7 linked regions of the Xenopus tropicalis genome follow. The protein of the gene in region 4 binds, or shares a complex with, the protein of the main gene of each other region. Links are inferred from orthologs where the notes say so. Each region holds a gene or a part of one and is shown on either strand. Other genes may lie near its edges.

Region 1 (4,384 bases), about 34 Mb from region 4:
AATGGCAAGTATTGCAAGGATAGCTATATTAACTAAAATCCTATTTAGAACAGCACTGACACATTTAAGGAAAATCAGGCATAAACCAAAGATATTACAGTGTCTGGCATCCTGGTCTTTGCAATTTTACAGAAATTAGTATGCATAATTTAGTACCACCAATGTGTAATACACAGGATAGTTTTCAGTACCCGTAAAACAAAAATGACTACATAAGCCCCAGACCAGACAATTACCTACCTCCCGTCTGTATTGTAATGAAGCTCCATCACTGCTCCACTATGTCCTTTCAAAGTTGCATAATTGTCACAGTCGCCATATACATTCCATAGCACTACAAGGCAAGTCAAAATAAACTCACTCAATAACTTCACAATTTAAGGGTAAAATACATAGCTTCATTTTTGGATTCAAATTCTAATTGTTATTAATGTACAATGCAGCATAAAACTAAAGTTTAAATGGTTTCATATTCCTTGTAAATTCCAGATTCAGACGGTGTCAGTTTTCTTGCAAATCAGTTAAATACCTACAAAGAAGTTCATGTGTGCTGCTAAATTTACTTGCTTTGTTTAATAGAATAAGTTACCTGCTGGGCAAACCTGCCAAAACATGGTAGCTTATTTAATTTGATTAAATATTACAAGAAAAGAAAAAATAAAATAACACATACCTGCATAACTTTCTTAATCTGATCAGTTGTAACATTCATAATTAATGTTACAGCTTGTATAGTGTGATAATGTGCTAAAAAGGAGCTAAAAAGCATAACAAAATTACAGGAGGTGCAGATTAATCCTTAATTAGTAACGTATAGATGGCCAATTAATTGTGTGATTCTACAGATGAAAAACAACATCTGCTACTAAGTCAAACAGCTGCAAAATACAAAGCGTATAAAACAAGTGAAAGTTGCTTACAGATAAGTCTGTCAAATCCTGCAGAAGACAAAGTTACACCATTGGGATGAAATTTGCAGCAATAAACTTCTCCTTCATGACCAGAAAGCAGCATGATGGGAGCCTGAAGACTGGATGATCTTGGGGGACCCTGCAGTCAACAAGTTCAGAGAATTAAACATCAAAGTAGATTCAGTTCCATTTATTACCTAAAGAAATATTTTATTCACCTTAAATTTTTAGTATTCTATAAATTACCATTTCTATTCTATTTTAAAGGGGCACTGACACATTCCTATAACAGTAAGGAACTTGTCAGTATTACCCATAATGCAGCACAACACTACTGCTTTTATTGAAGATTTACCCCAAATCTCCTCCAGCCCAGTCACACTTACCACAGGCAGAGTTAAAGGAACAGTAACACCAAAAAATGAAAGTGTATAAAAGTAATTACAATATAATGTACTGTTGCCCTGCATTGCTACAACTGGTGTGTTTCCCTCAGAAAGACTACTATAGTTTATATAAGTAAGTTGCTGTGTAGCCATGGGGGCAACCATTCAAAGGAGAAAAGGCACAGGTTACTTAGCAGATAACAGATAAACCCCCATTATATGGGGCTGATCTACTAGTTATCTGCTACATAACCTGTGCCTTTTCTCCTTTTTTCAAGCTTGAAAGGCTGCCCCCATGGTTACACAGCAGCTTATTTATATAGTAGCTTTTCTGTAGCAAAAACACCAGTTTTTTGCAGAGCAACAGCACATTATATTTTAATTACTTTAAAACACTTTAATTTTTTGATGTTACTGTTCCTTTAAGCCAGCAGTCTGGATAAAGAGATGCTCCCTGCAGACATGCGGGCTGTGGGTGGTGCCATCATTCTATAGGCAGGAATACAAATGTAAACTGTACTCCAGCCGTTGGAAGGATTGCATGGAGGCCAGTGTGACTGACAGACAACTCGTTAAAGTAACATTCTGCGTGTAGTAGTGTTGGGATGGGGTAAGTGTGTTTGGGCTGGGGGAAGCCCAACCAAGTGCTGCATTGTCAGTAATACTGACACGTTCCACGTCAGTATTCTTTTAACTACTCTTTGGCATATTTTCTCCCCTTAAAATTCAGTTTTAGTATTATTGTTATATTGCCTATTGTTTATCAGTCTATTGAGATCCTTCCCTAATTATTTGCCATTTTGAGTTCCAATCTACTTCTTGGTTGCTAGGAGAATTGAGGTCTAAACAAACAAACCTTAGAGGCGCAGAAGAAATAATCAAACTAAAACATGAGAAACAGATATACAGACTAAGGTCATGCTGTCTACACTATACTAAAGGACATTTTAAAACTGAACTACCCCTTTCAGAAAAAAGGCATGAAAATGGGTTAAGAGAAAGTCCCATAGCAGTAAAAATACTAGCTTTTTATTTACTATTTATAACTTTTGGAAATAAAGTTTTTTTTTTAAAAAAGAAAACTTTAACTTGATTACCTTCATTAAAACAACTAGAAAGTCCCATAAACGAAAAACCACAACCCATTAGCGTAGCAAAGTGTAATCACAAGGTCCTTAATGGCTGTGTGGGGTGCACAAGACGAGTCAATACTATAAGTAATTATACCCCTACCTATGTTCAGACGTTAGAGCCTTATGATTACACTTTTTAGCTTATTCTTATACCGTCTAAATCTTTTAATAAAGGAAATAATGGTACGATTTAGATTATGTCTATAATTTTACCTAAAGTCCAAGTCAAATATGCCCAAGGAATGAATGGTTACACTTATCCAAGCCAACCATTTCATTCAAATTCTTCATTCTTACCGAAACCACCAACTCGTTCCTCGGTTTTTTTGCCTGTACCGGCACCAACTCCATTCCCTTCCGCTTGTTTTGCTCGATCATGTTTCCAAGAACTCCTTCCAGCTTGTCTAACACTCACAAACCCAGCCACACTGTAAGACTCGCTTGCGTTCCCACTCAGCAGCGCAGGATGCTCACGCAATTATCCTGCGCAGTCACTACCTGATAAAGATTATAGTGGTGATTGGCTCTAAGACAATCATGTGACCTTGAAAGCCTTTAAGGGGCGGAACAGAGCTTGCGCCGATTTTGTCCATTAGTAATGACGTACGATGGGCGGGGTTGCGCGTATAAGGATGTTTAAGCAACTGGGCTGATACAGGAGAAAGAGAAAATGACGTAGAAGTTGTTGTAATTGGTTAAATGTGATCGGCCGGGGAGGAGACAGCGAAATGGCGGCCCATCAAAGGTAAAATATATAACAAGTCAGTTAGAAGAAGATTAATAGGCTATTACATAAACCATTATTAACGCAGCTTGATATTTCTCTGCAGGTGATTCAATTTTTTTAGGCACATCACATGTAATTTTGTCTACTCCAGTAAAAGGGGCTGTTGGCTTTAGGTGCCTTACATGCTGTTAGCGCACACTGAAGGATTCATAGGCTGGACATGCCTTCACTTTCTCTTCTATATGGAGCATATCTATTATAGTGTGTAAGTCGACATCATTGGTGGTGATGTGGCCCTTAGCAACCAATCAGATCTTTGCTTTGGATTTCTAACTTTTAGGTGACTGCTAAACTCTTAATTGCTGATTGTTTGCTATGTGCAACATCACTGGTGATATTGGCTTATACGCTAGTAAATAGGCTAAGGATTAAGGCCATATGTTATTCTGCACATAGAGCCACATTTACAAGCGTATTTGTAAATTTAGAGAGGTGACAGACGGGTATATTAGTCGCCCCGCAGCAATTCTTTGTTGCTGCGGGCAACTAATCTCCCTGCTATGCCATCCCACCAGCAGGAATGTAAATCGCCGGTGGGATGGCATATGCGTCACTACGATTTTCTGAAGTCGCCTTAAGTTGCCTTAAGAGGAAACTTCGGGTGACTTCCTTAGCCCTATGTGTTGTAGCAGCCATGATTACTATAAGGTATTACAAATCTATTGTCACAGTGACCCAGTTACACAGTGTATGGGTTTGAACCTGCAGTGAAAAAGAATGAAAGTGTCCCTGCCCTATGTTATGCGTATTTATCTCATTATTCAGAGACTTACGAAATATACATATTTGTATATATATCTTTATGTGACTCTAATTTTATATGCAATTGTTTTTTTTTTTTTTTTTTTTTTTACAATACTTTTATATTACAGTGCAATAAATAAAATATTAGCAGCTAAAGAGATTGAGTGCCACACATTGAGACACAAGAAGAATGAGTTCTTTGTCCTGTCTTAACATCTAAGAAGGTTGGAAACTTATTCACATGAATGGGAGGGTAATAAGTGCAGTCATTTATTAAGGTGTGGACATTGGTCTATATAAGGGTCACCTCTGAGTAGAGACACTTATTAAGAGATGTAGTGGAGCATGAAGGATTAATTCTTTGCTTATGAGAAACTATGGCAGGCATTAAGGAGAGAACTGGACTGGGTCTTCTGATGCTGC
Region 2 (4,703 bases), on a different chromosome or scaffold from region 4:
AACACTGATTTTAATTAAAAAAAAAAAAAAGTGCTATTCTTTCCCCAGTTAATCAATTACCTTATCCTGTGCCTGGCTCAGCTCTCCTTTCTCAGGGTCTGTGAATTCCACCAATATTCTAAGTGATTTCACCCTAGGAAGAAAAAAAAATAGACACACATGAACCTTCAATGTTCATTTTAACTGGTGTTCAAGTTCTAACAAAAGCCTCTGCTTGGAATAAAAGCCTGCGGTAGCTAGGATTTCATTATATCCACTGAAACAGACATATATCCCACATAACCAGTCCTCACTCACATCAAGTGTCAGCAAGTTGTCTCCTGTCAACTACGTGCCAACCCTAGCAAGGTCTGCCAGTAAGTTTTACATGAAGAGCCTAACATTAGCTACACGGCCATTTCTTCCAAATAAACGGCCCTCACATCGAGTCCCAACATGTCCGAAATTCATAACATCATCATCATATTTTACATTACATGCAGACTAATATAGAAGCTACCATGGAAGAATTTTTTACTTTGGCAAATCTCTGCCATCCCGAAGCAGCACCAGAGCCACTAGAAGTTGGCACTAGGGGTGTCCACCCATTTTCATACCTTAGAATCTATAAAGGTAAATTCATAGGCACCAATAAATGATTAATAGTTGCAAGGGTGCCTATTAATATGTCCCACATAGCACCTCCCTTGCTAACTGCCAAGTAGATTCTCCTGACAAAAACCACATTCATTTATACCAATTCAATTAAATGGCCACCTCTTTGCAATGGCAGGCAGGCCTGAAACCCCAGCCAGGCAGTATACAGAGGGTGAACTGTAGGCCTACAGACACATAGATGTCCCATAACAGGCAAATGAGTAACTATTTTAGAATTTAAAGAACACCTTAATTTGATCACTAAAAAGGTGTAATGGAATGTTATGGTGTAAAACACTAAAGCGAGGAGTCACTTAACGAACACAAAATATAAATTCATGCCACTGACTGTATTTATAAGAGAGTAAATCATGGGAACATGCCAGCCTACCCAGCAATGCTACTGCATTCATACCTCCCAACATTTGAAAAGCAGAAGGAGGGACAGAAATGTCTGGCGCGCAAGCCAACATTTTTAGGCCACGCCCACTTTATGGCCACGCCCCCCCCAAACAGGCCCATTTTACAAAACCACACCTGAAAAGCATAACATACACAAAGTGCACCAGAAGACAGACACGGTGGCCCCAATCATTTTATGACATATTGTGGCCCTAAGGATTTCATTATGCACTGTGGCACCTGTATTTAATGACAAACTCATGACCAGACATTGGTAGCCAGGTGTTATGTTTTGCATTGGCGCTAGAGCAGGGACCCCCTAAAACATTGCTGGTCCTCCCGCAGTGTCCCCCTACTACGGGCTGCTCCCCACTGCAGCATCCTCCCCAACATCCTTCAGCTGCCCCCAGCATCCACCCAACATCCTTCAGCTCCTCCCAGCGTCCTACCCAACATCCTTCAGCTCCCCCCAAAATCCTTCAGCTCCCCCCAAAATCCTCCAGCTCCCCCCAACATCCTCCACAATATCCTTCAGCTCCCCCAACATCCTCCAGCTCCCCCCAGCATCCTCCAGCTGCCTCCCAGGGTCCTCCAGCTGCCCCTAACCTTCCTCCAGTGTCCTCCCCAGCGTCAACCTGCTTTCTGTGGCACCCCCTGCTCCTACCACCACCAGCTTCCTCCGGCTGTGCCCCAGGGCTCTTCTTCTCCTCCTCGTGACGTCACATGCACGTCTCTTGAGTGCCGCAGCTGCTGCACTGTGAATGGCTTTATGTTAAAACTGAAGTGAGCGGCGCAGAAGCTGTGGCGCTAAGGGGAGACGTGCGTGTGGCGTCACGGGAGCAGAGACCTTTAAAAGTGGGACAGATCTGCAGCTATCCGGGACAGCGGGACAGGGTGGCAAAATCGGGACTGTCCCGCATAAAGCGGGACAGTTGGGAGGTATGACTGCATTTTCCAATATGAAAGAGAAATTCAGACAATGTATAAATAATGAAGGAATCACCATTCCCAAGAGTTAGGACTAGCAGTGCAGTCAGAGACAGGGCACATCAACATTAATAGAAAGATCTCTAATAATAAGAAATGCAATTCCATCATCCAATCACACGTCTGAATGTATTCTAAGGACAGTCATTGGGTGCTTCTAATTCCCCGCCCCCTTGATATTCCCGCCACCCAAGTGAGGTGCAGAACTGTACAACATGTCATTTCCATTACTGAGCCCAGCAGGGATGCTCCTTCTAGTGTAAAATCCCTTCCCTATGCCTTTCTTGGCATCTCTAACCAAACAGGAGAATATTCCATTGCATATGGCCGAATTGTGGGACCCAGTCTGTACCTTATATTTTCCTGCTTACTACATCAATGTCCAACTCACTACCCTCAAGTTGAGATTTATTTATAACTCCCACCCCTATTGGGGTGATACCGGAAGTCACAGTGGAACCCCAGAATGAAGGCAGCACCGATAGATACACTCAAAATATTTAACAAACGTTGCACATTATATGTCCTTCCCAGCCAGCCAGGCAAGGTGCGGGCTCATGAAGCTATGCCTGAAGCACAAATGCGGGACGGTATTAATGGATGCGCGTCCCAGAACACTTCCGGTATGGCGGTACCAAGGAAGGAGCGCAGGGATATCCCTAATCGGATCGCTACATCCACAGGGCCGCTGCCGCCTTACACTGCATCATGTGACTGTCTCCCTGGGCCTAACGCTATAGTCACCATTCTCCCATTCACACTAGCGGGGCCTCACAGGTTGGCAGCGCTGCTCTCTATCGCTCTCAGCTCAGCTATAATGGTTTCTCTCTTCTCCGCCTCCTCCATACCGCAAACTAACAAGCCATAAGGTTTTCCCGGGCTTCAATCTGCCTCCTCCCAGCATGCACCTCGCTAATACGCGGAAGTGCTAAACAACAATGAGTGTGCGAGGTTGGGGGCGGCGCTTCAGAACGCCCTCTAGTGGGGTGTTCTTCCAACTGCATGTGTGTGTTGCAAACGAGGCTAAAGGCGCGAATGGGGAAAGTTGTATTTGTGTAATTGGAAAATAAAGAAATTTCTATGAAAGTTTATGTACTTTTTTCCCCTCTCAAATTGGCATTTAGCAGTGCTTTTACATGATCTCTGCTTAATGGTTGCACCTAGAATAACCCATTCCATAGGGATCCCAGGTTACTATATAAGCAGGCAATACAGTGTCTATGGGGATATTTATGATTTACTACATTGCCCCAAATGACATCTCAGCAAACATGTAGCCTGCATCATAGCCATGGGCAGAGAATTGCAATTGTGTTTCCAATTACTATAGGAAGGGCTGCCATCAGTGGGGTAAAGGGGTGCTGCAATCAGAGGCCCTGTGGCAGAGGGGGCTCCAGAAGAAGGATTCACTGGTCATTAAAGGGCAGGGGGAGTGGGTAGGGTTTAGGTGGATTGTGGGCAAGATTTTACTCTAATGGGATGTGACTGGGGTTGATCAGGGCCTTGGTTATGCATGTGCTGCCCATTATTCTTATTTTTCCATTGGTGACTTGTTGGCGGGGCCCACAGTCTAGGTCCCTAAGTGCCCAGTAGGTAAATAATTGTGTGCCGCCTGGGTGGGTACTAGTGCCTTGTGATTTGTAATGGTATCCATGACTTCTGGGTATTGTGTAAGAAAAGAAGCTGAGAACCAAGTTGATTATAAAGGGGGCCATACACTGTAAGATCCGCTTGTTGGCAAGGTCTAAAGGACAAATATCGGCAACTGAAATTGGCCTGTGTATGAGGCCTGTGAAGCAGTTGAATAATCTTGTCCAATACAGTGAAGCCAGGGGTGTATCTTGGGATCTCTGGACACCCCCATACCACCCATGGACCATAGGGGCTGTGAATGGGGAATGTGGGCTGCTTTTTACTGGGTCCCCTGTCTCTTTGGGTCCCTCTTTGGCCATGGCGAAAGCTGAGTCTCCTCTCCATAAAGTTAAGTTACTAAGGTTACTAAGGTAACCTATGCCACTATCATCACCACTTGCCCAGGCTTTCTGCCCTTCTTCTTTGGCACCTGTGAAGCAGTTGAATAATCTTGTCCAATACAGTGAAGCCAGGGGTGTACCTTGGGATCTCTGGACACCCCCATACCACCCATGGGCCATAGGGGCTGTGAATGGGGAATGTCAGCTGCTTTTTACTGGGTCCCCTGTCTCTTTGGGTCCCTCTTTGGCCATGGGGAAAGCTGAGTCTCCTCTCCATAAAGTTAGGTTACTAAGGTAACCTATGCCACTATCATCACCACTTGCCCAGGCTTTCTGCCCTTCTTCTTTGGCACTGGAAAGGTTGCCCAGCAGCCAGCTAAATGCAACAAGGGGTCCACTGGCCACTTTTATCTGTTTGACACCCCTGATAGCACCGAGGGCAGTTTGGTGTGCCTAGGGATACTGGGGAGGCACTTATGGACAGAGACCTGCTCTAGTCATAAGTACAGAGGCTGTTCGGAGCACTCTTGGCATTATGGGATACCTAATGATTCAGAATGCATGCTGGCACATTTGTTGCTTCTTTTCTGACATTCCTTATATTGGGTGCCAGCAAAGTGTCATGTTCGTAAGTAATGACATGTGCCTGTTCCTGCCTTGCTCTTGTGCTGCTCCAGTGGGGTGATCACCTGTCCATTCTAGTAC
Region 3 (3,931 bases), on a different chromosome or scaffold from region 4:
TAATTTCTGATTCAGCAATCTCTTCTCTTTTGCAGCAGCTAACTTCTCTCTAAGTTCTTGTTGCTGTTTTAGTGCAATAGGATTAATGACAGAAGCAGCTACAGGATCTTCTTTAGTGCCGCTCTCTGCACATGTTAAACAGAATAAATGTTTGCACATTTTCACAATAAAGAAAAAAAGCATTATATAAATAAAAAATGGTAAAGTAAGATACCGACATTTGTTAACTTTGTAAATTAGCGCTAAACAAAAATAATAATGCCAGTGTTGATGCCATCTGTACAAGTTATAGATTTTTACAAAATAAAAATCCACATAAAATTAATGTTTTGAGAACAGGGCACATTCACCCCAGAGAATATAATTTTAGAGCCTATAGTCACATAAAACTTGAGACTGATTCAAATAAGATTATGTTGCTGTGCCTCTGGTCTCCGTTAAAGGATTTGTTCATTACATTATTAACGCATGTTGCAGCGGAGACTAATTTATAAAGTAATGATGTCTGCAAGAGCAGTGTTCTCCCCAACCCCTTTTAGCCGAGTGCATATCCCTGCTTCGGCCTCAAAATCTGCCCAAACCTTGCACACCTTTATATTTTTTTTGCAGAAGTCGGAAAGACTGTGCATGCAGATGCACCCTGTCCTTTAAATTGCAAGCTCTTGTGTAACCCTGGTTTGTTAAATTATTGCTATAAATTAATGTAAAGCGCTGTGTAACTTGCTGGTGATATATACAAAGAAGAATGATGGTGATGAGTCCTACTGGCTTCTGTAAAAAGTGTTTAATTTTGTCAGGGGAGAATACTAAACAGTCTGCAGTAAGACAAGTACATTTCACTTGTGCTGACATGAAGTACTATTAACTCACCAGTTTTAACTGTATTTACTTCCAGAGGTTTTAGACCAAGTTTAGCACGAAGTTTACTATCAAAAGAAAAAAAAATTGTAAACATGCCAAGTAAAAAACAATGTAATCAACACCAAATGCACTTCTCTAAGCACATAGGAAAATATGCTACACTGTTAACATTTATATTCCATATTCCACATTTCCCTGAAACCTAAATCTAAACAATTTGAATCATTAAAGATAAAATGCCTTTTTTCTGTGTTTTTAAACAATTGCATGATTCAAATGGCACAAGTAAGATGCTTGTGTTTGTCACCTGTGGGAAATCACACTGCACCCATGTGACCCCCCCCCATGTATGCTTATAGCAAGATCTACAGAACTTAGGGGTGGGGTGGGTTTGACTGCTGCTGTGAGGAAAAATAAGCAGAGGCTAAAACACTTCTATATTCCTGTCACAGCGTCTGTATATAAAATTATGTATTATCAGGCGTAACAAAAAGGCATTTTAGCTGCTGCTGACATATTCCTAATGGAAACTGCTATTACAAGTGGTTATTACAATATTCTAATTTGTGTTTTGGTGAAAAGAACCACCTGTACTTGCTGAGTGCATGGGTGGTTTCAGGCTCAACAGCTACCTTAAAGGAGACATATCCTATAAAAATTATGAATGTACCAGTGAATTATACTCCTCTAGATATAGAAGGATTGTGCTTAAAAAGTTGTGTTTCAGACTGATTTATTGAAAAATTCCCCCAAAACCCCACTAGCCCCGCCCATCTGTTCCACTTCCTGCTGGCTGAATTCTCTGGATGTGCAGGGGAGCCGGCGGCCCTCCGTACACTGCACTGTAGGATAGGAACCAATCAGCAGCTAGGCGACCGGATAGGGAACTGAAGCCTGTCTTTGCTTGTGTGAGTGCAGGGCTGTGATTGGCTCTCCCCCTCCTACTGTGCTTCTGGCAGGGACCGTTAGGACACGCCCACTCTTCATTTCACACTGGACGGAGAAGTGATAGGATCTATAGGGACCTCCAATAAAGGGGCCATTTTTGCTAGGCACAGAGTGCCTTTTAGAAATGTGACACTAATACAGTTCTGGACAGGGACACTAGAAGATGTTTTGAAAGCCACAATCTAGACACACTACATAATAAAAAAAGCAAATATCGAAAAAGTGATGTTGAGGTTTTTTTCAGCCTCAAGTGGAACTGCTTGCCCCCAGGATCCAACACAGAATCCCCCCCACAAGAGGGCTGTTAGAAAACTTGTCTTGTTGTGTGCCTAACTTACGGAGAGCAGATTTTGCTGTGTATGTCCCACAAAAAAAAAAAAAAAAAATCAAAAAAATCTTGATGCTGCAGGTCAAAAGTATACTTTTTTAAAATAAAGGAGTATGTATTGTGTGTGTGGTCCTGCGTACCACAGGAAACAATGAATTAAGAAATGAATTTTCTAATATGGCTTACTGAGCCTTTACATTTACTTTAAACTGCAGCAGTAAAGAAAGATATGCTGTTCCTTGACGTGTACTTACTTGGTCTCCTCAATACTCAATGATGAATCTCCAGCAGCAGATTTGGGAGCAATAGCTGAAAAGGAGGAGAAAGAAAAACACTTAACTGGGCTAATCGCATAACCTTTTTGAATAAGTATAACTCAAAGTTATAAGTAACCATTTTCACAGGCTATGCATTATTGTGCATATAAAAATACCCTCCATATCTCCAGCGTTCTTATTTTTAATCCAGACGACCATGTAGTTTAGGTAACTGGAAAAAGATTTAGGAATGGCTACTGATGATAAAAGGTCAGTTGCCCAATACTGAAAATAACCTTTCCTGCAGAGGTGGGCTTTCCTTTAATTTATGAACGGACTTTACAATTGTTGCACAAACTATTTTGATTAGAATGCAATGTTCTAAAAAAACATCAAAAGTAAGAATGAAAATTTTGCTTACTATGCTCATACACAGAATCTAGTTTTTCCTTCTTTATCTTTCGTGATTCAGATTCTTTGCTTGACTTGGACCTGCCTTCCCTTTCTCGTGGCCGTTCTCTTTCTCTTTCCCTTGACCTCTTGCGTCTCTCACGCTCTCGTTCTTTATGCTTATGCTTCTTGTGCTCCCTGTGACGTTCATCACCTCCACTTGCAGTGGAAACATCACGATCTTTCTCTTTATGTTTTTTAGAAGACCCCATGGCTGCAAAGAGAATATACATATGAGCTTCTCATCAAGATGCTTGCATGTATGTCTTATTTTAATCCACTGCTGTGTTTGGTTAAATAAGTGTGAATATATTTATGACAAACCTTTATTGCATTTTCTATAAGAAATATTTTATTATTTGATTACCAACAAAGTACACATTGCGGCAAGATTAAAAAATGTTTCACAAAAAGGCTTTAATAGAAGCAAGAATAAAAAATTTTTACCACGTATTTAGAGATAAAAGCATTATTAATTAAGAGATCTGAATAACCACAAAAAGTTTTGCCAAGATACCGTATGATATTGGATGTTATGAATTTCTGTAGATAATGAGGATTTATGAGAGGCACCAAAATGTGGATTAAAAGGCACCTTTATGTAAGGTCCTGTGCCCTGAGAGTTTAAATAATTTAAGTTAGGAAGCAGTGCCAATAAAGATGCCCCACAGAGATGGCATTAAGATGATAATGTATATATAAAGAATATTAGTAAAAGGAAATGTGCAATATTAGGCATCTAGGCATGTTGTTTCCCATGTTAGGGAAGTTGTAAATCCTTGCCTAGCATTTGTACAGGATAGATATAAGCTTTAATGTCTATTTCAATGTCAGTTAAGAGCCACTGTAATGTATTAGTTATGTAGACAGTAGGCCCTGACTGACAATCTGTAGATTCTGCCAAATGCCAGAGTGGCTGCTGTAAGATGCCACAGACAATTACTAGGCCTGTGGGGGCACGGTTAGTAATTTGTACAATTTCAATTGTAATGCCAGGGCCTATTTTCATTTTCAGTCTCAGCCTTGTACACAATGTCATATACATTATAATGCAATCCTCCCTGAATGAATGTAGTAATGCAGCAGT
Region 4 (3,931 bases):
TTAAGGTAAGAATAGGTCCAGGCCAGGGTCTAAACTCTTGAAAGGCACTGTATAAATGTAACAGCAAATAATCCACTAAAGGATAAGAATCAATTTCAAAATTCCCACAATTTAAGAATCATTGACATACCTTTGTGGTCAGCGTTTTTACTGGCTTCAAATTGAAATTGTAATCCAGATGAAGATAGTTAAGGTTCTTTCTGTGAATCAGCAAGTTCAGCATGTTATAGCCTTGGCGGCAAACCTGCAGGCCTACTTCCACCCAGTCCAACTTTGTCGACTGAAAGAATTTTGTGGCTTTAAATGAACGGAAGAGATACCTGCAAAAGGATTATAATCATTTAGCAGAAAGTAGACTACAAGACTTCAGATTACATGCATTGTAACTTAATTTGCTTACCTTTTCTTCTGAGCTTTTGGAGGCCTGTGTTTCAAAGCATTTAGCACATAGTACTTCAGCAATTTCTGGTAAGATACTCTGACTTTTACTGGCTGGCCAGCAGGACAATGCTCTCTGTACCTGAGAATGAAAGGAATATTCTTACTGGTCAGTTACTTAAACACTGAAAACATGCTGTCAACACAAATATCCCATTTTAATGATCCTATTCATTTCTGAACAAGCTTTAAATAATATTGTAACAATAATCTAAAGACTATCTGCAGGGGCAAAATGACTCTGGGACAGGCTGACAATGGAAAGTACTGTTTGGAGAGTAGTAGTCAGCACCAAACTTTGTGGTTAATTAGAGGCAGTGCAGGTTCCCCAATGGCCACTTTCCATCGGTATATCCAAATGTCGAAGAACAGGAACAGGACCTCTTGTCTTTTTAAATTAAAATGCCTTTATTGCAACATCTTCATATAAAAAGACAAGAGGTGCTGTTCCTGTTCTTCGACAATGGAAAGTACTGTGTCACAGTCAGTTTCGTTAAAGGCCCTGAGCAAGAGACCATAACAGCATTGTATAGCTTTTCTTTCAATTTACTAAATCAAAAAAAAAAAAGTTAGTAAAAGGTACAGCAATAAAGACAAATATGCAAGTTTTCGGAGTTTTCCTCCTCTTTAACAGCAGCTGGTTACCTGGCAGACAAACATTTTTAGCCACAATGGGCTCTTCAAAAAAAAAAAAAAATCCACTGAACTGCCAACAGCAGGAATATTAAGTGTAAAATTTTTAAAAATTAAATATCAAGCACCTTTTATATAAATTGTCCTGCACAAAACTTTTTCTGACGGAACTAGGTTAACATTGTAGGAAAAGTAATAAATATCAAGCTACTGCAATAAAACCTGAAGTCTGAATGAAAGTTTGCTCACCAGTTTTTCACAAGAGGAATATCAATAGCCCTCCTGGTCCTACCAGAACGCAAGTTGAAAGGACGAGGAGCCCAAAGTAAAGCAATTCCATTAGCGGTGTTATCTGAATACAGAGGAGTGTCTTTAAGGAATGGTTCAACATATTCTGGCAATTCAAATTCCTCATCATCATCTGGCAATGGCTCTTGGCTCTATAACGAAAGCAAGCAAAATGAAAACCAACAACCTTGAATAACTTCCAACCTACATAAAATGTATCCAATTATCTTTACTCTAGAATTTCTCACCTTTACAGAATGCCTGTGTGATATGGGATTAATCAGTGGGTCAAAATAGAATGCTGGTAAATCAGGATCCTCAGTTTTGATAAAAACCACATTTGGTGTGTGATACCTGTGAATGAAAACATAACAATTAGCATGGCACGAATAGCTTCTCTCCTCTTTTGCAAAAAGTAAATCATAAAAGTTAAAGGACATATTGGATGAATGGAAAAAACCCTAATATTGTAGGCAATTATGAATAATATACAGTGCTGGTATCACTTTGGGCTAAAAGTTAATCCTATCTGTAAAAATTGCCCCTTTATTGAAGCTCCCTATAGATCGTATCACTTCTCCGTCCAGTGTGAAATAAAGAGTGGGCGTGTCCTAAAATTCCCTGCCAGAAGCACAGTAGGAGGGGGGAGAGCCAATCAGAGCCCTGCACTCACACAAGCACAGACAGGCTTCAGTTCCCTATGAGGTCAGCCTAGCTGCTGATTGGTTCCTATCCTACAGTGCAGTGTGCTGAGGGCTGCCAGCTCCCCAGCTCATCCAGAGAATTCAGCCAGCAGGAAGTGGAACAGATGGACGAAACTAGTGGGGTTTTGGTGGAATTTCTCAATAAACCAGTCCGAGACAACTTTAAGCACAATCCTTCAATATTTAGAGGAGTATAATTCACTGGTACATTCTTAATTTTTATATGATATGTCTCCTTTAATACAGCTTCACAGAACAATCCTAAAGTGCTTATTTACTGCCCTACGCATAATTTACAAATTCAGAAAACTCAAGCTAACCCTTTCCAAGAGCAAATTACAAGTTAATACGGAGTTAGACAAATGAATTAAAACAGCTTTATAGAAGTAATGAAAAGCCCTAAAAAAGACATTTACACAGTTAGTTTAACAGGTAAGGCATAAAAAAAAGCAACAAACAAAAAAAAAAATTAAAACAATTTACCAGGTTAAATGTACATGGTGAGGAAGATTGTTGTACAGGTAAGGAAAAGCAATCTTGTATTCTGTTCGAATTGGCTGTCGGATAATTATCTTGTTAATATCATTAAACTCATTCCAATCTTCATCCCTGTATAAAAAGAGAAATCAATCAATTTTATCTGCTTGCACCAGGAAATGTACTAAAAACAAACATCACAGCAACATCACTTACTGCAGGTTAATGTCACGAACAAGAGGCTCAAATTTTGGCCCTCCAGGAATAGCCATGTTTAATGCTTTGGAGGTAAAGAATGCCTTTAGGTCAAACAGGTAGAAGTAGTTATCATCAACCAGGTCAGTCAGAAGCTGATTAGCCAATCGATATAATGTAGACATCATCGGAAGTGTAAACTGCCACCGCTGATAAGTAGTACCATTCACATACCTGAAAATGAAAGGCATTACAAATAAAACATGGCTTGGAAACTATTTGACAAAATTAGCCAATACAAGGAGAAATGAGCATTATGTCTACAGATACAAAAACCAATAGAGTAAGTAACTAGCATTACTTTCTGTTGTCTCTTAAGGGCTGGTGATCATAGAACCAGTCAGTGACTGGAGCATCTTCCTCTGGGTCCAGTTCAAGCTGAATGGCTTCCAGGGGTTCAACATCAAGGATATTGTCAGCATAATCCAGTGGAGGCTCCTCATCATCAAATGGAGGAAACCTCATCCTCTTGAAGTGCCGTCTGTCTCTTTTTTCTCGCCTCATCATAATCCACATTGACCTGGTAAATTATTGTGATAGAAAATACAAAGTCAATAGGAATATGGATTCATATATGAGATTGTTTTTAAAGAAAGGGTTTAGGGACATTAAACTTAAATGACTACTGACAATAAAACTGAGGCAGTGCTATTCTCAGGACCCAATATGCCAGGCTGTAATTGCATCAGTTGCACTATTTTCTAGGATACAAAACACCAAAATCCCAGCATGTTTCACTTAGCACTGCATTAGGAAGTTAGACTTTTGCACTGTATCTACATGAACTAAAATCACAAAACATTTCCAATTAACCAAATATGTTGTGAAACATCAATGTAAACCTATGGCAGTAACTCTCTTAATAAATGCACAGGATTTTTAATTAGATTGTGCTTTATCTTTTTAATGCATTTTGATCATAAGCTTATTATCAATTAATGTTGTTAGCCCTGCACAGGCTACTGGCACACAGAGCTGTTTAATTTACCATATTATTACAAGATGCACTTACCCCCACTGTGCTATGTAGACAGGCTCAATGACCCATGGAATCTCATTAACAAATGAGATGGCTCCTGTTATATGATACAGCACAGGGACATCACGGATCTGCTCCCAAGGCATGGGCATGTTTT
Region 5 (4,363 bases), on a different chromosome or scaffold from region 4:
TAATAGTTAAATGTGTTTGATGATCAGAAACATATTGTGTGACAAACATGCAAAAGAATAAGAAATCAGGAAGGGGGCAAATAGTTTTTCACACCACTGTATATGTTACTCCTTGTAGATTGTAAGCTCTTTTGGGCAGGGCTCCCTTCCCCTCCTGTATTGGTTATTGATTGCTTTATATGTTACTCCTTGTAGAGTGTAAGCTCTTTTGGGCAGGGCTCCCTTCACCTCTTGTATCGGTTATTGATTGCTTTATATGTTACTCCTTGTAGAGTGTAAGCTCTTTTGGGCAGGGCCCTCTTCCCCTCCTGTATTGGTTATTGATTGCTTTATATGTTACTCCTTGTAGAGTGTAAGCTCTTTTGGGCAGGGCTCCCTTCCCCTCTTGTATCGGTTATTGATTGCTTTATATGTTACTCCTTGTAGATTGTAAGCTCTTTTGGGCAGGGCTCTCTTCCCCTCTTGTATCGGTTGATTGCTTTATATGTTACTCCTTGTAGATTGTAAGCTCTTTTGGGCAGGGCCCTCTTCCCCTCCTGTATCGGTTACTGATTGCTTTATATGTTACTCCTTGTAGATTGTAAGCTCTTTTGGGCAGGGCCCTCTTCCCCTCCTGTATCGGTTACTGATTGCTTTATATGTTACTCCTTGTAGATTGTAAGCTCTTTTGGGCAGGGCTCCCTTCCCCTCCTGTATCGGTTACTGATTGCTTTATATGTTACTCTGTATGCCCAATGTATGAAACCCACTTATTGTACAGCGCTGCGGGATATGTTGGCGCTTTATAAATAAATGTTAATAATAATAATAAATAACAAATGTAATAAGTAAATTTAGTCAAATGGGAGTGGTATTTAGGGGGTGTGGTTGCACGCAGCGTTTATTTTTGTCCCTGTTTTCAGTTTCAAAATGTTGGGAGGTATGTAACCATGTCTGATTCATTGATAAAAGCGACCAACAATGTATTTACTTTCTCTCCTGGGGCCCTTCCATTCCTGGCTAAATGACCTCTCTCTGGTTATAAAACCTATAACTATCAGGAAAAAGCCCTGTAACCCAATCCCATTTTAATAACCAGTGGCAATAAATGACAATTATTTTTTAATGTTATTACTGGTGCTTTAACTTAAATTGTGCATTAATAAGTCAGTGGGATGCACCAGTGACAACTACAAGTCCCAGCATCCCCTGCAAGACGACTACTTTGTGACCTGCAGCAGCTATACAGTCATATTTCAAAGCGATACAACTTCATTTGCCCTACTTCCGGTTTGACTTCATCACTTCCTGCGCGTCATCCGGCTGCGACACCCGCGTCTCGACGAGTGCTTCCGAAAAACGAAAGGTTTGTTGGATACTTACCGAGCTGCGCTAGAACTAAGGGGATCTGGGAACTTGTGAGGCCTTTAAAGTTGCAAAACACCGGCCCTTATTTACGGCAGGTCGGCCCTGGGGGCGGGGCCTGTTTGATACGAATCCCCTCTCCGTTATTTATGTTATAAACAGGGTTATACTGAGGAACCTGCAGGGATCTCTCTTCCCCTCATGTTTCCTCACACCGAGCGGTTTTCTTGCATTTTCCTGGTTTTAGACTTTCCCCCCCTTTATTTTGTATACAAGTTCCCTTCTACTCACAGGGTCTCTTAACCCAATAAGGGGTAATTATATCTTAGTTGGGATCAAGTACAGGTACTGTTTTATTATTACAGAGAAAAGGGAATCATTTAACCATGACATAAACCCAATAGGGCTGTTCTGCCCCAATAAGGGGTAATTATATCTTAGTTGGGATCAAGTACAGGTACTGTTTTATTATTACAGAGAAAAGGGAATCATTTAACCATTAAATAAACCCAATAGGGCTGTTCTGCCCCAATAAGGGGTAATTATATCTTAGTTGGGATCAAGTACAGGTACTGTTTTATTATTACAGAGAAAAAGGAATCATTTAACCATGAAATAAACCCAATAGGGCTGTTCTGCCCCCAATAAGGGGTAATTATATCTTAGTTGGGATCAAGTACAGGTACTGTTTTATTATTACAGAGAAAAGGGAATCATTTAACCATTAAATAAACCCAATAGGGCTGTTCTGCCCCCAATAAGGGGTAATTATATCTTAGTTGGGATCAAGTACAGGTACTGTTTTATTATTACAGAGAAAAGGGAATCATTTAACCATTAAATAAACCCAATAGGATTGTTCTGTTCTAATGGGTTTCCAGATAAGAGGTCCAATACCTGTAGTCTTTCATAGGGATGCACCGACTCCACTGTTTTGGGATTCAGTTGAACCCTGAATTCTTTTGTGAAAGATTCGCTGAATCCTGGTACAAAGGGGCTAAAGAGAACTCCTCCTTTCCGCTATCATGCGATGAAAAGTCATGTGACTTTAGGGATTCGGTTTGGCCAGGCACTGGCCAAATCCTGTATTTAATGCATCCCTATTAATAGTGCCTGTTGCCTTTTCTATAGGATGTCTAAAAGGAAGGTCACATTTGTGGATGGGGCTGAAGACGACGATGATGAGCAGAAAAAAAAAAGGGTAAGTTAAGAAGCAGAGCCGAATTGCACCATGTCGCTTTTCTTTTTCCAAACTGATCCCAGTAACCTTTATAAAGACGCCATTATATAGACGGTCTGCATTAGCCAATGTGCATGTCTGACACGGTCTCACCCCTTTATTGAAGCTCCCGGATGTAGTGGGAGGCCCAGGAAGTCGATTTAAAGGGAAACATTCTCTGGACAGCGATGAGGAAGATGATGAGGAAGAAACCAGTGATGGACGTTCTGCAAAGTATGACATATTAGCCCCCGAGGATGTTGAAGGTGAGATTCCATAGCAGGGTGCCCGCTTTGTGCCTCTTGTAGTATTATAAACCCCTTTACAAGAAACAAGCGGACGCATAATATAAGGATGTTTGGGAGAGGGTAGCTAAAGATACCTGGTACTGAAACATCCTATGCATAAGTTGCCCCCAGGCCACCCTAGTGTATTGGTACCCACAGTAATGATGAGGGAGTGAGCTGCAGGAGCAGTGCTGCTTGCTTTGCTTATGCTGAGCTGGAGGCAGGCCAGTAATTCCATAGGCTGAACTGCAATTTTAAACTCTACTGCAACCTATCAAAAGATGGCACTTCCTCCAGCTCAGCATAACTTGGGCACAATGGGCTCTCCACTCCCAGTCACCTAAAGTCATATCAGGGTGTCTGCTGCAGTAAGTACCCATCAGCTGGGGGTGGCTTGGGGCAGTCATCTACAAAAGAAGATCATGGCCATTTTGCGGACTACTTCATACTGGATATTATAGTAAAGTCTTTGTACAGGCTATGAGCAAAGCAAATGTTATGCTGACAGATACCATAAAACTATGGCAGCATAGGGATTCCCCTGTACTAAGCACAATTCAGCAGGAACAGCCCCCTAAGTTTGCTCATAGCCTGTACAGAGAGATACCATAAAACTATGGCAGCATAGGGATTCCCCTGTACTAAGCACAATTCAGCAGGAACAGCCCCCTAAGTTTGCTCATAGCCTGTACAGAGAGATGCCATAAAACTATGGCAGCATAGGGATTCCCCTGTACTAAGCACAATTCAGCAGGAACAGCCCCCTAAGTTTGCTCATAGCCTGTACAGAGAGATGCCATAAAACTATGGCAGCATAGGGATTCCCCTGTACTAAGCACAATTCAGCAGGAACAGCCCCCTAAGTTTGCTCATAGCCAGTACAGAGAGATACCATAAAACTATAGCAGCATAGGGATTCCCCTGTACTAAGCACAATTCAGCAGGAACAGCCCCTTAAATTTGACTTAAATTTGTCTTAAATTTGTCTTTGCTCTTCTTCCTCTGCAGGACAAGAAAACGCTACTCTGGAGTCGGAGGGTGGTGTTCCGATTACTCCTTTTAACCTGAAGGAGGAAATGGAGGAAGGGCATTTTGACTCTGAGGGCAACTATTTTTTGCGTAAAGAAGCTCAGATTCGGGACCACTGGCTTGATAATATAGACTGGGTGAGTGAATATGAATTGGGAGAACATGAAACGTAATAGCAGAATTTGAGTCCCTTCAGGTGGAACAGGGTGATTACAATCCAAGAATCAAGTTGGGCACTGTATGAACACAGTCACATTAGATGCCTCTTGGAATGCACTGAACCCAGTATTCAGTTTGGGATTCAGGCAAGATTCTGCAGAATCTGTAAAATCACATGAACACAGAAGTAAAAAATTAAGCGCGCGCTTCATTTAACTGTTCCGTAGCTTAATTTGCACATGCAAATAAGGATTCAGTTCAGTATTTGGCCAAATCATTTACAGAGACTTTTGGGGTTCGACTGAACCCAAAATAGTGGATTCGG
Region 6 (4,381 bases), on a different chromosome or scaffold from region 4:
AGGTGAAGAATAAAAACAAGGGGAAAAAAGTATTTAAAAAGAGAAGCCCAAATAGTTCTGCACCCCAAGCTTATGTAAATGTTTTCAGCTTTGCCTATATCCGTTAAAATGGAAGATGATTCTCAGGAAAATGTCATTTTAGCTGGTGTATTACAGGGCGAGATTTAACATCTTGTATGGTTGAAACCTACTAAAGACTTTACAGATATTGCAAAAGTAGTTTATGAATTCCAAAAAGATGCTTTTCAAACTGCTTCCACAGTCTTACACTAGAATGAACTCAGTTATGTCAGCCTTACCTAGCACTACTTCCTCCACAAATGTTGTAAACAATTTTAGTGGCAGCAAATTAGGCAACTGCATTAAATTGGCTGGATCCTTCATTCTACTTACTCAATTGCTCTATTTTATTTATATACAAAGTTCCTGCTAGCACTGCTGGACAATAATTTTGAGAACCAGAATAAAAGGTGTTCCCCTTAAAATAAGAATCACTCCCTTTACATTTCCCTATGCATTGGCTATACATTAAGATTTTTTATTTGAATAAAAATATTTAAAATGAAAAATGCACTTGGTTTATTAAAATTACCTAGAGCTGGAGGAGGATCCACACATACATTTTAAGCCCTACACACACAACAAATTGTGGCGCACACAAAAAAAGTATGTGAACACACTGGGGCAGATTTATCAAAGTCTGAATGGGTACGATTACAAAAAATTTGTATTTTTTCTAATTTATAGAACTTTGTGTATTTTCCACAATATTTTTGTTAATTTCCGCAACTTTTTTGTGCTTTGAATAAATTTGTGAGACAAAATCGAAATTATCGCAACGACTACAAAAGTTTTGAAATTCATTCAAGCTGCAGAGTGCCATTGAGTCCTGTGGGAGGCTTCCAAAATCATGCATTGAAGGTTCAAAGTCAGAAAGTTTTTTGCGCCGGATTGTTTCGTTCGGATACGAAAATTTCGTAACTTTTGGATTGTACCATTTATTTAGATGAAGGTTTACTGAAGATGAAGCAGGGTTTTAAAAAATCCTGGAAGACTGATAAAAGATGGCGGCACTTACAGGGAATGTACTCCAGGCTGGAGGAGCACTGGCTTGGGTTTGAAAGTTAGTAATTATACTTACTAGGAGTGGGTGCCTAATATGTGAGAAACTTGCCAACCAATGGCAGTGTATGGCAGGCTACCAGGGGAAGCAATGCACAAAAGTAAAAAGAGTGAGGGTGGTTGGGGAAGGAACATCAGCCCTGCTGCCTAAGGAGGAAGCAACCCCTGCAGCACCTCTCTCCATTTTCTATTGCACAAAATAAAGGATAGTATCTTTTGCTGCAAAGAAATGCACAGATGAAAAAATGTAGGTCTTTACCTTAGAAGACCTAAAGTTGAAAAATCAGAGACAAGTCAGGAACATCCAGCTGCATTAATTAAAATGCAATCACTTTGCAAATAAACAGCCCTAACAATTTGGATTTATTAAAAATGTGCATATTTTTCATGTGATCTGATAACAATAGTGGGAATTTACAAAACTGGAGCAATTAGCAGTTAGAAAGGTTTCATTTAGACATAAAAGGTTGAATATGTTCTGAATATGTTCCAACCTAAGTTACTAACTTATCTCTGAAATTGTAGCACACAGCAACTATTCTGGAAGTAATTCAAGTACTTAAGCTACAGCATAACTGCCACGTCTTGCATACTGTAGCATACTGTATACAGACAAAATGTAGATTGCAGGTTTGATTTTCCTGTTGAATCAAGGACTACATCTGTGATTGCTGTAGTCCTAGTTACTTGCCTGCATAGAGACAATTTTGATACAATCAGCCCAATTTTGCCCACCTTAAGGTCCATATCAGTGAAAGACACACTCATTCAGCGACCTTGTCAAACAAGTGAATCTTATAACGTATGGCAAAGCTTTAGTAGCAGTACTTTGTAGTAATAATTGTTTTAAGAATGCATGGCAAAGTAGAATTCTTTAGAAATTCACATTTAGAAAGCATACCTTCTCTTCCACCCTGAAACTTTACTCGAATTGCCTTGTCTATGTATTTGGAGAGGTCTAGAATGCTTTCCTTTTTCTTTTTCTCTTTGTCCTGGGGAAAAACAATCAAATATGTTTATACATTTAGAGCTGCTAAGAGCAATACTAGGCTATATAGTAAGAGGATTTGAGAAAATATGGCTCCAAAAGTTTTAAAGCTCAGATAAGGTTAAAGAAAACTATACCCCCAGAATGAATACTTAATAAAAAACAAATATAATCTTTTGGTTATGTTAAGTGACCTATTAAAGAATCTCGCAAAACTGGAATATATCTGTAAATATTGGCCTTTTATATCTTTTCCCTTGAGCCACCATTTAGTGATGGGCTGTGTGCTCCCTCAGAGATCACATGACCAGAAATAATGCAGCTCTAACAGGGAAAGGTTTGGAAGCAAAAGACAAAACTATGTCCATTCATTGGCTGATGTGACCTAGCATGTGTGTGTGTGTGTGTCTCTGCATTTTTTGTACACTGTGAATCCTATGCAATCCTTAATTCTTAAAATGGCTATCTTCTACTTAGGAGTACCCAATAGCACAATCTGCTTAAAAAAAAAAAAAAAAAAGTATATTTTTATGAAAATGGTTTTAGATAAAGCAGAGTTTTACATTTCAGCTTGTTCATGCAATATATTTTATAGAGACCTACAATGTATGGGGGGTATTGTCTTCATTTAAGAGGGGGGGGGAAAGGAGCACCATTCAAACAATTGTTTTGATCAGTTTGTCATTAGATCTGTATCATGACTCTCCTAGGGCTCCTTGCCTCTCCTTCCCTGGAACTACATTTAATTCGGATATAATTAAGAGTTGTTTACTGACCACTTTATATACAACACTTTGGATAACCCAGCTCATAAAAAGAAGAAACACACGGCTGCGAATATACCTCATCGCATGAGTACTTTGCCGCGTGCGCGGCGTCTTAAGTGGATGTGATAGGACGCATAATTACGGTTCCTCTTAATCACCTCCCACTGTTTTACAGTCTTTAGCAATATGTTCTAATCATGGGTACCCGCTACGCAATAAAAAGAAAAAACGTTCCATAATCCACTATATATGACTGACCAACTCTACCGGACGAAAGCTCACTAAATTCTACACACTCACCGCCATCTTCCCGCGCCTCTGTTCCTAGGGGCAGGCGTACCCATTTTAATCAGCTCTGGGGGCACCTGTACACCTAATTATGATTAATTTTTTTGCTCCTCCTAACTTCTCTCTTCCATCCTTATGAAGTACTAGACTAAACTAGTTAAGCACGTTAAAAGTTTTCTTAAGAAAGTGCTTCGCTATGTATTTTTTATTTTCACTGAGGAATTTCATTCACACCCCCTACGACTTTAACTGGTTTGGAAGAGTCTACTTTTTTTTCTCTTTTTTTTTAAATAGCTTTATTGACTGCCCTCGACAATTATAATGTCGCCGTGACTAGGTGTATAACCCTAATTTAATAAATAGTTGTGAATGGTAACTTATTTTCTGTCTACAAATCGCAAAATTATATGATGGATTAAGTCATTTTGAATTACCCACACTCTGTAAAAAATATTATGCCTGTGGGGCGGGCGTTTTTTTTTTTTTTCACCCTTTCACTTTTTTCTGGAATCACTTTTCCATAAACAAATATGGCGTGTAGCGTGCGTAGTTACGTCACATCCTGTAGTCATCTACCATTTTCATTACAGCTTTCTATTGAACTGCTCTACTATGGGGCTTGGCCTTTGGGACCTGTCACTAATACATTGCGAATGGGAGGATAACCTGAAGACTTGGATGTAGTGCGCAGGCCCAGGAGATGGCGCTGAGTAACAGTTAACAAATGGTGCTTGGCGGTTTGAGTGTTGCTTTGCTAAGGCTCGTGACCTGGAAAAATGAAGCTTCTTTTGATTTTCCTGTTATGGGGTTTGTTTGTAACAGAGGTGAGTGATATTCAATTACATTTTCATAATGCAGAACATCATTTTTACGCGTTTTATTTACCTTATTTTCGCCATTGCCACCTGTATATTGAAGGTGCTGCTGTTTTTCGAAAATTCACTTTAATTTTTTTATACCTTCTGAAAGCCCCGCCCATCCATGATTTTCCACCTTGTTCCGAATTCCTGACTTTTTCTGTGTACACACGCTTTGCTGATCCCCAGAAGCTTCCTATACGCAGTATTTAAATATTTAACTGGAGTTTGCTGTCACGGGCTTCCTAGTGACAGTCATTAAATTCGTATAGATTGTTGAATAAATATTTCCTGCTACGAATTGACCTGATTGAGCCAGTATTGATATCTGAGATATAGGGTCTGTTGTAGGCCCTACT
Region 7 (4,515 bases), on a different chromosome or scaffold from region 4:
TAAGGCTGGACTTGTTTTTAAGCCAGGATAAGTTCCATATAAACCTATGAGTTTAAGCACTACCAAAACACACAAGAGAAACTCACTCTTCTTCTTCTTGTTGCCCCCAAGAGCAGAATTAAGTGCGTTCAGGAACCAAGAAAGAAAGTCCACTCCATCACCTGTTTTGGGGCAGAATGTTGTAGTGGGTGATTTTGCCAATAACCGTACCAAAATGCTAAGGGTTTATATACGCAATCTAAAGGGGGAAAAAACATATGCAATGGAATAGAAAATAAGGAAAAGACGGGACAAAGAGCATGGAAAAACTGGAGCGAGACCTGAAATGTTCAGATAAACAGAAAAAAACAGGACAGAGGGGTGGAGATATTCACCTTGCTTGGTGATCTGGAAATTTTTCTTGCTGCAAAGAACAACAGCCTGGAGCATCTCATGTGGGGAGACATGAGCCTTAAAATTCCTGGGGTTCCACAGTTTGCGCATTAATTCCCCAAATCTCTGCACAAGCAGGAACATGATATCCCCAGGAGGGCGCTTAATATCACAATAATTCTCTTCCTCCAGAAAGTAATTTCTCAGAGGAGGAACATTGGAGAGAGCCTGGAAGTGACCATAAAGAAATTAGTGTACATTGGCCATGAAATCTGCACTATGGTCTGTGGGAGCAAAAGTGTTTAAAGTGTTTCAGACTGATGAATGTTAGGGCATCCAGTGAAATAGATGAGAGATGATTCTCTGCTGCAGTGAAGGTGAGGTGGTTAACTGTTACACAGGCCCTGTATATTGTGAAAATTCCTACCTGCAAAACAGCATTGGCATAATCATTAGCTTTGATATTGTTAAGTCCCACGATGCCTGGGAGGTAAGTGGTACCATCATATGCTCGAGAAAGCTTGGCCTGTTTGTCTAAGTTACCAATTTGCTGCTTGGTGAAGGTTGGCTTCAGCACATACTGTAGAAGACAAAGAGATAGTTACTAAAAACATGAAAAGCAAAGTTAATATGGGGGGGGGGGGGTGACACAGTTGAACAGACAGAGACAGTATAGAAATAATGTGCACATTTTACAAAGCCCTTTACTTCTGTAAGAACAGCTACCTTTCTCTCTTATGGCCTGAGGCCATCTATGTTCTCAATCCAAGGAGAAACCCAGTCCTTGTTTCCATGTGTAGATTCACACTTATATAAAAAAAAAAAAAAAAAAAAAAAAAAAAAAAAGAACTTTGAAAGACTGTACTGAAGAATGGGGGCCAGCCAAAGGAAGGGGAAAAATGCTAAGGCAACAGGCAGCTAGTGGAGCTAGACATTTCTGCCATCACTGGGCTTATGTTTCCCTGTTACTGACCATAAAATCTGCTTTTTGATGTATGCCCTGCTGTGTGTTGCATGATCAGAGCAGTACAGGTGATCCATGGCTCTTTTGCGGATAATATGCTATTCTACCTTTCCCATCCTAATTGCTGGCTGTGGTTGAACTCACTAAAGGAGACGTATGTGTTGTGATAGACACATCAAGTTAGTGAAGGGATTGTTGCTCTTGAGTATAAGAGTCTAAGAGTATAAGAGTCTTTAACTTACCGACACCTGTGTTATATAAGTCAACAGTGCACTCTAAAAACTCTGGGAACGCCATACCACTTGTACTGGGCACTAAGATTGCACCTTGGGCAAATATGAACTGGGCCATCCTGATTTTTTGTCTTCATATTAGAAAATGCCAAGGTCACATAAACAAATGGGGCAAGAGAGGATGTGCAAGTACCGTAATGTCTTCCAGGGAGGAGTCAATGATATTATAGTTGTCCGGCAGGCAGTAGAACTTCAGTGTGTGCAGATTAAGGAAAACATGGTGACTGAACTGAACACTGTGGATATAGGCATGGGACTTCAAGCCTCGACCTTGGGGGGGGAAAAAAAAAAAAAAAAGAGAAAAATTTGACAAAATAAGGGCTCATCTGAACAACACACTCTGTGCCACTTACTTACCCTGGAAGTATTTCCCGCATACAAGGCAAGCATATGCATTAATGTGAGAAAGAGAGATGGAACACAGCTTCTCAAAATCAAAGTCCAAGACACTCCTGGTAAGAACAGAACCAGTGTTATTTGTGAGCAGTACATAATCAACACAGTCCCAAGCAAAACAACCAGACTGACCTGTTAATGGTATCCAGATATGGGCAATGGCGACTACGTCTGTCTTCAAAGTCATACCGCCCGTGCTTTCCTACAACTGCCAGCATTACATGCACGTGTTATATATATGTTATATGTACAGTTCTGAAGTTAAACATGCACAATTCACCTGTATCACCCACTTAAACTGCTTGGCCTGCAAATCACACTTGGATTGCCAGGAAAACATTATGGAAGAGTGACACTGCCATTACTTGGGCTAAAATCACAGGTAGGGATCAGAGGGTGGCAGCAAATGTGAACCTAGTTTCATACAGAAATTAATGACCTAAATGGTCCAATCAGCCATCCTTGTGTCCAGCTTTAGAGGTACCATGCTGGGACACCATGCACAGACATGGCCGGAGCACTGACAAAACAGGTTTAATGATCCTGTTTTGGGGGGGATTCCATATTTTCTCGGTGGGGGCCCTAGTAATGGTGGGGGCCCCGGTAATGGTGGGGGCCCCGGTAATGGTGGGGGCCCCGGTAATGGTGGGGGCCCCGGTAATGGTGGGGGCCCCGGTAATGGTGGGGGCCCCGGTAATGGTGGGGGCCCTAGTAATGGTGGGGGCCCTTGTAATGGTGGGGGCCCTAGTAATGGTGGGGGCCCTAGTAATGGTGGGGGCCCTGGTAATGGTGGGGGCCCCGGTAATGGTGGGGGCCCCGGTAATGGTGGGGGCCCTAGTAATGGTGGGGGCCCTAGTAATGGTGAGGGCCCTGGAGAAATTCCTTCTCTGACACAGTGACAGACACAAGCGGAGGAAGCACATATTTATTATCCCCCCACGCTAACACATGTGCACCACTCTTTTTCATTCGCTTTTACTCAATCAATCCGTTACACTATTCACACCAAGTCGCATCAATAGAATGAGTTTCCCTCACCTCTCTCATCATCATCATCGTCGTCGTCTTCCTCCTCCATCTCCAGTTTCACCCGCTTCTCAGCGTTCATTCTGCCTCCACCGACTCTCCTGCGTGTCTCGCCTCTCTTTGGACTGAAGCCCCTCCCCCACGCCGCTTCCGTACACTTTCCTATACAACAGGAACGAGTCACGGAACGCTAATGTCAGGGATGCATTGATTGGCTACATTAGCCTTTGTCGAAACAAAAACAGCCAATCGCTATCTCTCCTACAATCGGCTGCGACGGGATAGTTCCTACCAGCGGTAGCTAGGGGGCGGTATTGGGATTGAAAGGGTGCCCGTGTTGGAAGTAGACTAGAGCCGGGAGTATGCAGGAGGAAGTGGAGGTGCAGGGCAAAGCCGGGCCCGGTGGGAGGCTGGATATGAATCACGGCTTCGTTCACCATATCCGGCGGAATCAGATCGCGAGGTAATAGGGCTGGCAGCGGCCGGAACTTTTTCCTTTAAAAAGCAGAAACACTGAGACTGTTCACGTAGTGTTGGCCATGGGGCTGCTTCCATGAAGGTTATACTGGTGCTGTTGGGGCCAATCTATTCATATACCATCCCTGCCATGGCATTGCCTGGTACTTGTGTTCCTAAAGCTGGCAGGACTTCAAATGCACTGAAATATGAACTAGTGTTTCCTTGCTAAATAAATGACAGATTTGCTTCTGAAATTCCAATATTTGTGTAGCCAAACTCCTTTGGGCAGTGGAGGCAGCTGTTCAGTTCCAAAAGGGCTGTCCCATTCATGCTTCTCTAGCGGATTCCTGTTGAGATTTTGAAGTGACCACACCCACTTTTAAAGTCCGCACCTTTTTAAACTTGGATGGGGCTATTTAATAAAAGGCACTAAGTTTTCCCAGGAGCAGCAACTGATGGAACCAGTCAGCAGGTAGAATTTACTGGTCACCTATTGTAAAGCACATATCTTATTGGTTGCTATGGGTTTAGGGTTGCCACGTCTGTCTGTCCGGGTCAAACTCCCTGCCCCATTTTCCAAATGAGGGAAATCGGACAGAACTCCTGGCACCGATCGCCATGTCATAACCCCACCAAATCCCTCAATGTCATAGACCACACCTCCAACATCATCCGCCTCACCCCATGACATCACCGTTCTGCCTCCCACACAGGCATTCCCCAGTCAGAAGATGGCAACCCTATATGGGTTACTGCTCATGGGCAAACTAGGTACCTTTTAGGAACTTTGCAGGAGCCTTGCATGTCAAACTGTCACAGCCATTGGTCTACTAGCATTCTGGGTTGTTTTCAAAATTACTATATACCAGTGTGGGCATGCTCAAAAACAGGGCACTAGCCATTTCCTAACGATTATCACCTGACCCAAGAGTGCACTGGAAGGGCCTAGACTGGTGATTAGTGGTTGGGCATTATAGAACATTTAGTCACCCCTGAGCTGAAATC

What was found.
Region 1: prpf8 (region 4) and snrnp40 share a complex: the UniProt entries of both Homo sapiens proteins name them as parts of the U4/U6-U5 tri-snRNP complex. The link is inferred for Xenopus tropicalis from reciprocal best matches to the Homo sapiens genes PRPF8 and SNRNP40.
Region 2: the proteins of prpf8 (region 4) and tssc4 are in contact, whole or in part, in a cryo-EM structure (PDB 7PX3), measured with the Homo sapiens proteins. The link is inferred for Xenopus tropicalis from reciprocal best matches to the Homo sapiens genes PRPF8 and TSSC4. Residues at the interface, in NP_006436.3 of Homo sapiens: Thr2087, Asn2088, His2089, Ile2090, Tyr2091, Val2092, Ser2093, Ser2094, Asp2095, Lys2108, Leu2111, Lys2112, Glu2184, Thr2219, Pro2220, Thr2224, Leu2225, Leu2262, Leu2263; in NP_001284587.1 of Homo sapiens: Pro153, Asp154, Tyr155, Glu160, Arg161, Trp162, Thr163, Lys164, Tyr165, Ser166, Leu167.
Region 3: prpf8 (region 4) and sart1 share a complex: the UniProt entries of both Homo sapiens proteins name them as parts of the U4/U6-U5 tri-snRNP complex. The link is inferred for Xenopus tropicalis from reciprocal best matches to the Homo sapiens genes PRPF8 and SART1.
Region 5: prpf8 (region 4) and cd2bp2 share a complex: the UniProt entries of both Homo sapiens proteins name them as parts of the U5 snRNP complex. The link is inferred for Xenopus tropicalis from reciprocal best matches to the Homo sapiens genes PRPF8 and CD2BP2.
Region 6: prpf8 (region 4) and lsm7 share a complex: the UniProt entries of both Homo sapiens proteins name them as parts of the U4/U6-U5 tri-snRNP complex. The link is inferred for Xenopus tropicalis from reciprocal best matches to the Homo sapiens genes PRPF8 and LSM7.
Region 7: prpf8 (region 4) and usp39 share a complex: the UniProt entries of both Homo sapiens proteins name them as parts of the U4/U6-U5 tri-snRNP complex. The link is inferred for Xenopus tropicalis from reciprocal best matches to the Homo sapiens genes PRPF8 and USP39.

What each region holds. Positions count from the first base shown.
Region 1 is NC_030678.2:79,149,771-79,154,154, reverse strand, and holds the start of snrnp40 (U5 small nuclear ribonucleoprotein 40 kDa protein), read right to left. Parts: upstream 2,881-4,384; 5' UTR 2,809-2,880; coding exon 2,728-2,808; intron 1,051-2,727; coding exon 921-1,050; intron 335-920; coding exon 241-334; intron 1-240. UniProt on the Homo sapiens protein: Required for pre-mRNA splicing as component of the activated spliceosome. Component of the U5 small nuclear ribonucleoprotein (snRNP) complex and the U4/U6-U5 tri-snRNP complex, building blocks of the spliceosome.
Region 2 is NC_030680.2:22,340,443-22,345,145, reverse strand, and holds the start of tssc4 (protein TSSC4), read right to left. Parts: upstream 2,974-4,703; 5' UTR 2,801-2,973; exon of another isoform or gene 2,726-2,800; intron 2,703-2,725; exon of another isoform or gene 2,378-2,702; intron 134-2,377; 5' UTR 61-133; intron 1-60. UniProt on the Homo sapiens protein: Protein associated with the U5 snRNP, during its maturation and its post-splicing recycling and which is required for spliceosomal tri-snRNP complex assembly in the nucleus.
Region 3 is NC_030680.2:38,865,968-38,869,898, reverse strand, and holds part of sart1 (U4/U6.U5 tri-snRNP-associated protein 1), read right to left. Parts: intron 3,059-3,931; 5' UTR 3,057-3,058; coding exon 2,816-3,056; intron 2,447-2,815; coding exon 2,392-2,446; intron 927-2,391; coding exon 871-926; intron 126-870; coding exon 1-125. UniProt on the Homo sapiens protein: Plays a role in mRNA splicing as a component of the U4/U6-U5 tri-snRNP, one of the building blocks of the spliceosome. May also bind to DNA.
Region 4 is NC_030678.2:45,523,445-45,527,375, reverse strand, and holds part of prpf8 (pre-mRNA-processing-splicing factor 8), read right to left. Parts: coding exon 3,808-3,931; intron 3,316-3,807; coding exon 3,097-3,315; intron 2,970-3,096; coding exon 2,757-2,969; intron 2,673-2,756; coding exon 2,547-2,672; intron 1,714-2,546; coding exon 1,608-1,713; intron 1,512-1,607; coding exon 1,321-1,511; intron 521-1,320; coding exon 401-520; intron 321-400; coding exon 131-320; intron 1-130. UniProt on the Homo sapiens protein: Plays a role in pre-mRNA splicing as core component of precatalytic, catalytic and postcatalytic spliceosomal complexes, both of the predominant U2-type spliceosome and the minor U12-type spliceosome.
Region 5 is NC_030685.2:13,551,525-13,555,887, reverse strand, and holds the start of cd2bp2 (CD2 antigen cytoplasmic tail-binding protein 2), read left to right. Parts: upstream 1-1,296; 5' UTR 1,297-1,345; intron 1,346-1,361; exon of another isoform or gene 1,362-1,442; intron 1,443-2,475; 5' UTR 2,476-2,476; coding exon 2,477-2,545; intron 2,546-2,690; coding exon 2,691-2,829; intron 2,830-3,858; coding exon 3,859-4,016; intron 4,017-4,363. UniProt on the Homo sapiens protein: Involved in pre-mRNA splicing as component of the U5 snRNP complex that is involved in spliceosome assembly.
Region 6 is NC_030677.2:92,742,093-92,746,473, forward strand, and holds the start of lsm7 (U6 snRNA-associated Sm-like protein LSm7), read right to left. Parts: upstream 3,210-4,381; 5' UTR 3,184-3,209; coding exon 3,178-3,183; intron 2,974-3,177; exon of another isoform or gene 2,959-2,973; coding exon of another isoform or gene 2,887-2,958; intron 2,115-2,886; coding exon 2,024-2,114; intron 1-2,023. Other genes in the region: sppl2b (signal peptide peptidase-like 2B), read left to right, coding at 3,942-3,989. UniProt on the Homo sapiens protein: Plays a role in pre-mRNA splicing as component of the U4/U6-U5 tri-snRNP complex that is involved in spliceosome assembly, and as component of the precatalytic spliceosome (spliceosome B complex).
Region 7 is NC_030679.2:125,759,347-125,763,861, reverse strand, and holds the start of usp39 (U4/U6.U5 tri-snRNP-associated protein 2), read right to left. Parts: upstream 3,159-4,515; 5' UTR 3,134-3,158; coding exon 3,064-3,133; intron 2,234-3,063; coding exon 2,158-2,233; intron 2,082-2,157; coding exon 1,987-2,081; intron 1,900-1,986; coding exon 1,763-1,899; intron 953-1,762; coding exon 800-952; intron 601-799; coding exon 375-600; intron 162-374; coding exon 87-161; intron 1-86. Other genes in the region: UPF0561 protein C2orf68 homolog, read left to right, coding at 3,414-3,514.